2 linked regions of the Xenopus tropicalis genome follow. The protein of the gene in region 2 interacts with the protein of the main gene of each other region in a pairwise test. Links are inferred from orthologs where the notes say so. Each region holds a gene or a part of one and is shown on either strand. Other genes may lie near its edges.

Region 1 (3,376 bases), on a different chromosome or scaffold from region 2:
CACGGGCCGATTCTAGCTGCCGATATGGGTCCCTTAGACTGATTCGGCAGCTAATTGGCCCGTGTATGGGCACTACCGACGGGCCTGCCCTACCAATATCTGGCCTGAAATTGGGCAGATATCCATCGGGAAGGGTAAAAAATCTAGTCAAATCGGGGACCACATCGGCTTGTTGATGCGGTCCCGGACCGACTTTGCCTGTACCTGTCGTTATAATTCGATCTTTTGGCCCCAGGGACAAACGATTGAATTAGCTTGGATTCTCCCGATATCGCCCACCCGTAGGAGCGAGCGGATCGGCCCGTGTATGGGGACCTTTAGTCTTTGTGCATTTTGGCCAACTTCTGAGCTCACTTGGGCCCATCTGGTCTTTCAGCGCTCATATCTTGGGTTGGGGGGGGACCATATCCAACTGGGCTGGTAGATTGAAAAACATGACTGGATATTTGGAATAGTTGGGGAGGTGATTACTATTAGCCTGTGCTTTCAAGAGAATCTGGATTGGTGTCCAGTGTTTGGCCAACCTAGCCAATGCACCATTCAGCACACAGCCTGGTTCTCTGATACGCACAATATTCTTTTCAGTGGACAGCACACAATATATATTTTTTCATTCTTTATTCCAAAAATAAATATCAGAGATGGAGGATACAATATAGAGAATCAACATTACCGTAAGGTAGCGTCCTTTGGCAACTGCATAAAGAACACAGATACGAGGTTCTTGAAACATTGACATTAGGGCAATACTGTTTTCAGATTATGGGGGGTCATTTACACTGTTGTATCAGCATATTTTATTTTAAAAAAAATCATTATAAAAGGCACAGTAATCGTTTTACTGGAAATGCATGGCACGTTTGTTATCCGTATTTGCTTCTCGTTACATTCAGAACAGGACAGTCGGCGCTAAAAACACTGCAGGTGATTCAAGGGTCCATTTTACAAACTGGTAAAATTTCTAAAATAAAAAAAAAAATTCTGTTTTTGGCTCCATTGCCAGAAGGCAGCTGTGAGAGGAATCTACTCTATTGTGTTTGGCCGTGTTGCCACGTAGACAAATACGACAATTAATGCCACGACCACGGCCAGCGTGGGAAGCACTACAGTGGTTATCTGCTGCCGGGCCTCTTGCATGGCCTGTTTCCTCTCCTTTTTATCTTTCGACGTCTCTTTCTTGGGCTTTCCCTTCAGCTGCCGCATCGTGACTCCTTCGGCTCAAACCGGTGGTGCTGCCAAGTTACGCGCCTCTTCAGATTTCAGCAGGTTGTGTTTCTGTAAATGAACAAAAAGGATTTAAAATACGTCCCTTAGACTGATTCGGCAGCTTATTGGCCCATGTAGGGGCAGAAACGACGGGCCTGCCCGACCAATATCTGGCCTGAAATCGGGCAGGTTAAAACATTTAGTCGGATCGGGGACCACAAAACCGGCTGTGCCTATTACCAGCATTCTAATTCGATCGTTTGGCCCCGGGGCCAAACAGCCTAAATTCACCCGATATCGCCCACCCGTAGGTGGGGATAACGGGAGAAGATCTGCTCGCTTGCCGACCTTGCCAAGCACGCGGATCTTAACGTGTATGGCCACCTTAACGGTTACAGCAGGGTTGCCCCCCAACCTTTTTACTCATCTACCACACTTAGGGGCCCATTCATTAAACCACGATTTTTGGGTGGTTTAAAGCACGATTGGAAAAAAATCGGAGTAACCACGATAATTTCTGATGTTCAAAAATGTCACGAAAATTATTTTCTTGGTCGTACGAAAATACTGTGGTTGCGATCGGAAAGTCACAAAATTTTCAGATCCAAACGTTCGGAAACTTCAATGCATGATTTTGGAAGTCTCCCATAGGACTCAATGGCAATCGACAGATCCAACCTGACTTTTTCGTGGAAGTTAACGAAAACCACAAAAGTCGTGGAATTTTAATGATATTATCGTGGACATTAATTTGTGGTTTAATGAATGGGCCCCTTAGACATAAAAGGTGTTGGGGAGCCACACAAGCATGAAAAAAGTTAATTGGGGAGAGCAAATAAGGGCTGTGATTGGCTATTTGGTAGCCCCATAGGGACAGGAGGCTGCTTGGAGTAAAACTACATTTTTATGCTCCCAAGAAACTTGTCTCCAAGCCAGAAATGAGAGGATGAAGGCCTAAATGGGAGGCTGCAGGACTCGATGGCTAAAAGGATTCCAGCAGGGTATCGGCCCACTGAGCGCACAATTATAAGCTATTATCAATACAATGGAAACCTCTTTCATACAAAAACAGAACTGTTGCTGCACTTGTGTTTTATATCCTTTTATTACCTGACAAATGCTGGGGATGTGCCGGCTGCGGATCAGTACAACACTGATACCCCCTAGGGATCCAGGTCATGGCTAAATAACGGTTACTGGGAAGCAGCAACATCAACGGCTTTGTTAAAAACTGCAGCACTTACACCTCTACAAACCCCTCATTTATTGCCATATACCATTTATCTACCAGCACTCTGCCCGCAGATTCTCTGCACTACTCTGTCATTTTCTATTTCATTGAAGCTCCATCCAGTCTGTTAACCTGTTCATTGCACTACTGGAATGGAATCTTAACCACAGTAAGGAAACGAGCAGGATAGTAATGGGATTAATTAACACTATGGGGGCACAATGCAGCCCCTGGTGAAATCCTGGGTCTGTTTGAAAGGAACTGGTTGTCAGCTGACATTACCATGTGACTCCCAACCCACCCCTGTGGGACTGTTCCATTTGCATACACAGTAGCTTTCAAGGTTAACCCCATTAGGCTTAGGCTGTGGGGAAAATGCAGGCCGAGAATCAGCCCCTCTAAAAGCATTCCTCCCAACATTTGAAAAATGAAAAGAGGGACAAAAAGATTTGGCGCGCGCAGAAATAGAAAGTGCCCCCCATTGACCCCATAGACAGTGCCCCCCCATTGACCCCATAGAAAGTGCCCCCATTGACCCCATAGAAATTGCCCCCCATTGACCCCATAGAAAGTGCCCCCCATTGACCCCATAGAAAGTGCCCCCCATTGACCCCATAGAAAGTGCCCCCCATTGACCCCATAGAAAGTGCCCCCAATTGACCCCATAAAAAGTGCTCCCCATTGACCCCATAGAAAGTGCCCCCCCCATTGACCCCATAGAAAGTGCCCCCAATTGCCCCAGACAGTAGCCCCCATACACAGTGCCCACATACACAGTGCTCCTTCTGCGGCTGCGACAGGCCCTTTTATAAGGTTGTGCCCCATGTGTACGTGTGACGTCAATATGCACGGGCACAACCTTATAAAAGGGCCTGTCGCCGCCACACAAGGAGCAGGAGCGCCCAGCTACAGCCATTACATCCCAGTGTCCAGGATAGT
Region 2 (3,756 bases):
GGTAAATAAGAACTTCACAGTGAAAGTGTGGGTCACTTAGGTATTGTCTGACCATTCCTCACAAGCAATGAAGGTCTAGAAACCCACAGAAATCAATAAGTAGTATTTACTAGCCACCCACTTTAAACTCAAAACCACTTGGTTGGTTACTATGGGTTACTCGAACGGTGTAAACACTTATGATCTTATGATAGTGTCCCCAAAGGTGCAGCTACAATGAAACATATGCCACACACCTACCCCGCTGTCTCAGCGTCCAACATCAACATCACCAGATTTCTGGCAAACACAGCGCAATACATATTCAAATGCTTCCTCTGACAGTTAGGCATGTAAACATAACAAAGAGAAGCCTGAAAGGGGAACTATCACAAAGGCATAAATGCAACAGAAGCCTCATTTCATGAGACCAAAACTTTCTCCTAAACGACTACTTTCTATTACCAATAAGATGAAGCTTAAATTCAGAAAGAAAAACAGTTATGGGACATTACAGCTGCAGTGAATGGATTCATAGAAATAGTATATATTTTTCCCTAAAGATGATGTAGTGACTGACACACGTTTGGCCATGTTACATAACCATATAAAAAACAAATAAACAGAACCTGGGCTAGCTAGAGAAAACAATGAACTGCCAGGTACAGGTATGGCTTTCCTTATCCGGAAACCCATTATCGGAAAGGCCGTCTCCCATAGACTCCATTATAAGCAAATAATTCTGACATTTAAAAATGATTCCTTTTTTTCTATAATAATAATAAAACAGAACCTTGTTCTTGATCCCAACTAAGATATAATTACCCCTTATTGGGGGCAGAACAGCCCTATTGGATTTATTTAATGGTTAAATGATTCCCTTTTCTCTGTAATAATAAAACAGTACCTGTACTTGATCCCAACTAAGATATAATTAATCCTTATTGGGGGCAAAACAAGCCTATTGGGTTTATTTAATATTTAAATGATTTTTAGCAGACAAGTTATGGAGATCCAAATTACTGAAAGATCCCTTATCCAGAAAACCTCAGGTCCAGAGCATTCTGGATAACAGGTCCCATACCTGTACATGTATAACACCAACATTGTCCCAATATAAACCAATATCACTGGCTATGACTACCAGATTTATTATAATCTCACTCTCCTGCAATTAGGCAGTCATAATACAGAGTGCTACAGTAAAATGTCTTATTTGGAATATTTTTCATAGGGCTAGCCCTGGCATGCCGTCTCTTGGCCGGGAGTGTCCAAAGGATTACATGACTAACAACATGCCAAAAGTCTTGCTACCATGCAATTGTATGCATTATAAAACACACACACACATACCTCTCTAAAGGTGGCCATACACGGGCTGATTGCAGCTGCCGATATCGGCCCCTTAGAGCGATTTTGTACCTTATTGGCCTGTGTAGTGGCCCTAACAACAGGCCTGCCCGACCGATATCTGGCCTGAAATTGGGCAGGTTAAAAAATTTAGTAGGATCGGGGACCACATCGGCTCGTTGATGCGGTCCCCGAACCAACTGTGCCTATTACCGGCGCTCTAATTCGATTGTTTGGCCCCAGGGCCAAACGACCAAATTAGCCTAAATTCACCAAATTTGGGAGATCCGCTCGCTTGTATGGCCACCTTTAGTCATCAGTCTAAGGCTGAGGTCCCCAAACTTACCGGCCTTTGAGCCACATTCAAATATAAAAAGACTTGTGGGGCAACAAAATACAGCATATTAGAAGTGAATGAGGCAGAGGTGACTTCTAATATCCTTATATTTGACAACAGGGGGTATATTATTTCTTATAATAAACACATTTCAGCAAGTCATGTGAAAGATGACATCATTAAGGAGCATTTCTAAGGATACAAGGTACAGAACAGCCAAGGCTCCTGTGTATTAGAAATATATATTAAACATGATCTGAAAGATACATAGTAACATATATTTAAAGTAAATAACAGATGGCAAGTGTTTGGCGATGACAGTGAGTGTACATGAAGCTATAGGCTGGCCCGTACATAAACACACACGTCATCATTCCCACACACCCACCCGTGTAAGTGTGCCTCGGCACTGGCAGCCACATGACTGGGCACATGTATGAAGCACTAATAGCGAAACCATCACACTATCAAGCTCTTTGATATGAATAAAGTACAGTAACCCACAACAACAATGCAGCGCCGCTTCTCCCTCTAGTCTAGTCCATGTAAGCTCCGCCCTTACCTACACCTAAATCTCCCATTGGACCGCATCCGTCATTCCAAGTTCCAGTCCCGCCTACACTCATTATCGATTGGCTCCCACAGCTGCCCATCATGGGATCCCGCCTAAGCTTCGCACCCAAACATTGTCCTGAGCTCGTTCAAATTCTCGCCGTTCGACCCAATTGACGGGCGCTGGAATCGAAACGAGGTCCTAGTTACACAATGTGCTTCTTACCGTGCAGCGCGGCCTCCTCCCCGTTGTTGTTATTGTTCTCGGACATGGCGACAGCAGCAGCTTTTAGTCTGTCCGGGAGACGGAGCCGCACTGCGCAGCCACGCCCCGTCTGACGTTAATCAGCCTCATCACCTGAGGCGGAGGGGGCGGAGTCGGCTGATCACGTGATGTTGTTAACCCGTAACGCAGTACTGCCTCTCATTTGTTGCTTCTGACAACTGTGCGATAGTTTGTTTTAAATTATGGTGTCACCTATTGTTTAGGGCAGTGATCCCCAACCAGTGGCTCAGGGGCAACATGTTGCTCCCCAACCCTTTGGATGTTGCTCTCAGTGCCCCCAAACCAGGGAGTTATTTTTGAATTCCTGACTTGGGGGCAAGTTTTGGTTGAATAAAAACAAGATTTCCTACCAAATAAAGCCCCTGTAAGCTGATAGTGTGCATAGAGGCCCCTAATAGCCAATCACAGCCCTTATTTGGCAACTCCATGAACTTTTATGGTGCTTGTGTTGCTCCCCAAGTCTTTTTACATTTGACTGTGGCTCATGGGTAAGAAAGCTTGGGGATCCCTGGTTTAGGGTCTTGTCTTATGGTCCCCATACATGGGCCGACTATAGCTGCCGATATTGGTCCCTTGGACCGATTCGGCAGCTAATCGGCCCATGTATGGGGAGAGCAGAGCGGCCTGGCCGACCGATATCTGACCTGAAATTGGCCAGATCTTGATCGGCCAGGTTAGAAAATCCGGTCGGATCGGGGACCGCATCGGCTCGTTGATGCCCCATTGCAGCCCACATAATCCCCCCAGACCCCAGGGCCAAACGATCGGATTATTCTTTTTTTTACCTAAATTCTCCCCGATATCGCCCACCTGTAGTTGGGGATATCGGGTGAAGATCCGCTCGCTTGGCGACATCGCCAAGCGAGCGGATCTGTTCGTGTATGGCCACCTTAAGCCATTTTTAAACGTATGGGACCGGTCTGCTACTGTCTAATCGCTTATAGGCTCAGCAGGGAGCATGACTGGTCAGGTGTGTAAAGGCATGGCTGAGTTGCTGTGGGTGACTGGATATGGGTGAACTTTGTGCTTTGGTGTGTTTGGTTGTTTACATATGGGGGTTATTAACACTGACACGGGAAATACTCCTACAGAAATGAGAACTTATTTTTGAGTGGCTTTAGCTGCCCCCCTAAATCACACTAAGGGGCATATTTATATATATTTATATAAAAAGCTGTGTAATATAAATGGAAAAGATCGCCGCCTGAACGCCGGATATTACGCCGTTATTTTCCATAAGTTCCAGGGGAAG

Evidence for each region.
Region 1: the proteins of bnip3l (region 2) and smco4 interact in binary tests that used the Homo sapiens proteins (3 or more experiments, as listed by UniProt). The two-hybrid records come from large-scale screens. The link is inferred for Xenopus tropicalis from reciprocal best matches to the Homo sapiens genes BNIP3L and SMCO4.

What each region holds. Positions count from the first base shown.
Region 1 is NC_030678.2:165,806,611-165,809,986, reverse strand, and holds the end of smco4 (single-pass membrane and coiled-coil domain-containing protein 4), read right to left. Parts: intron 1,276-3,376; 5' UTR 1,204-1,275; coding exon 1,024-1,203; 3' UTR 604-1,023; downstream 1-603.
Region 2 is NC_030679.2:127,988,577-127,992,332, reverse strand, and holds the start of bnip3l (BCL2/adenovirus E1B 19 kDa protein-interacting protein 3-like), read right to left. Parts: upstream 2,499-3,756; 5' UTR 2,491-2,498; coding exon 2,445-2,490; intron 2,404-2,444; exon of another isoform or gene 2,323-2,403; coding exon of another isoform or gene 2,229-2,322; intron 1-2,228.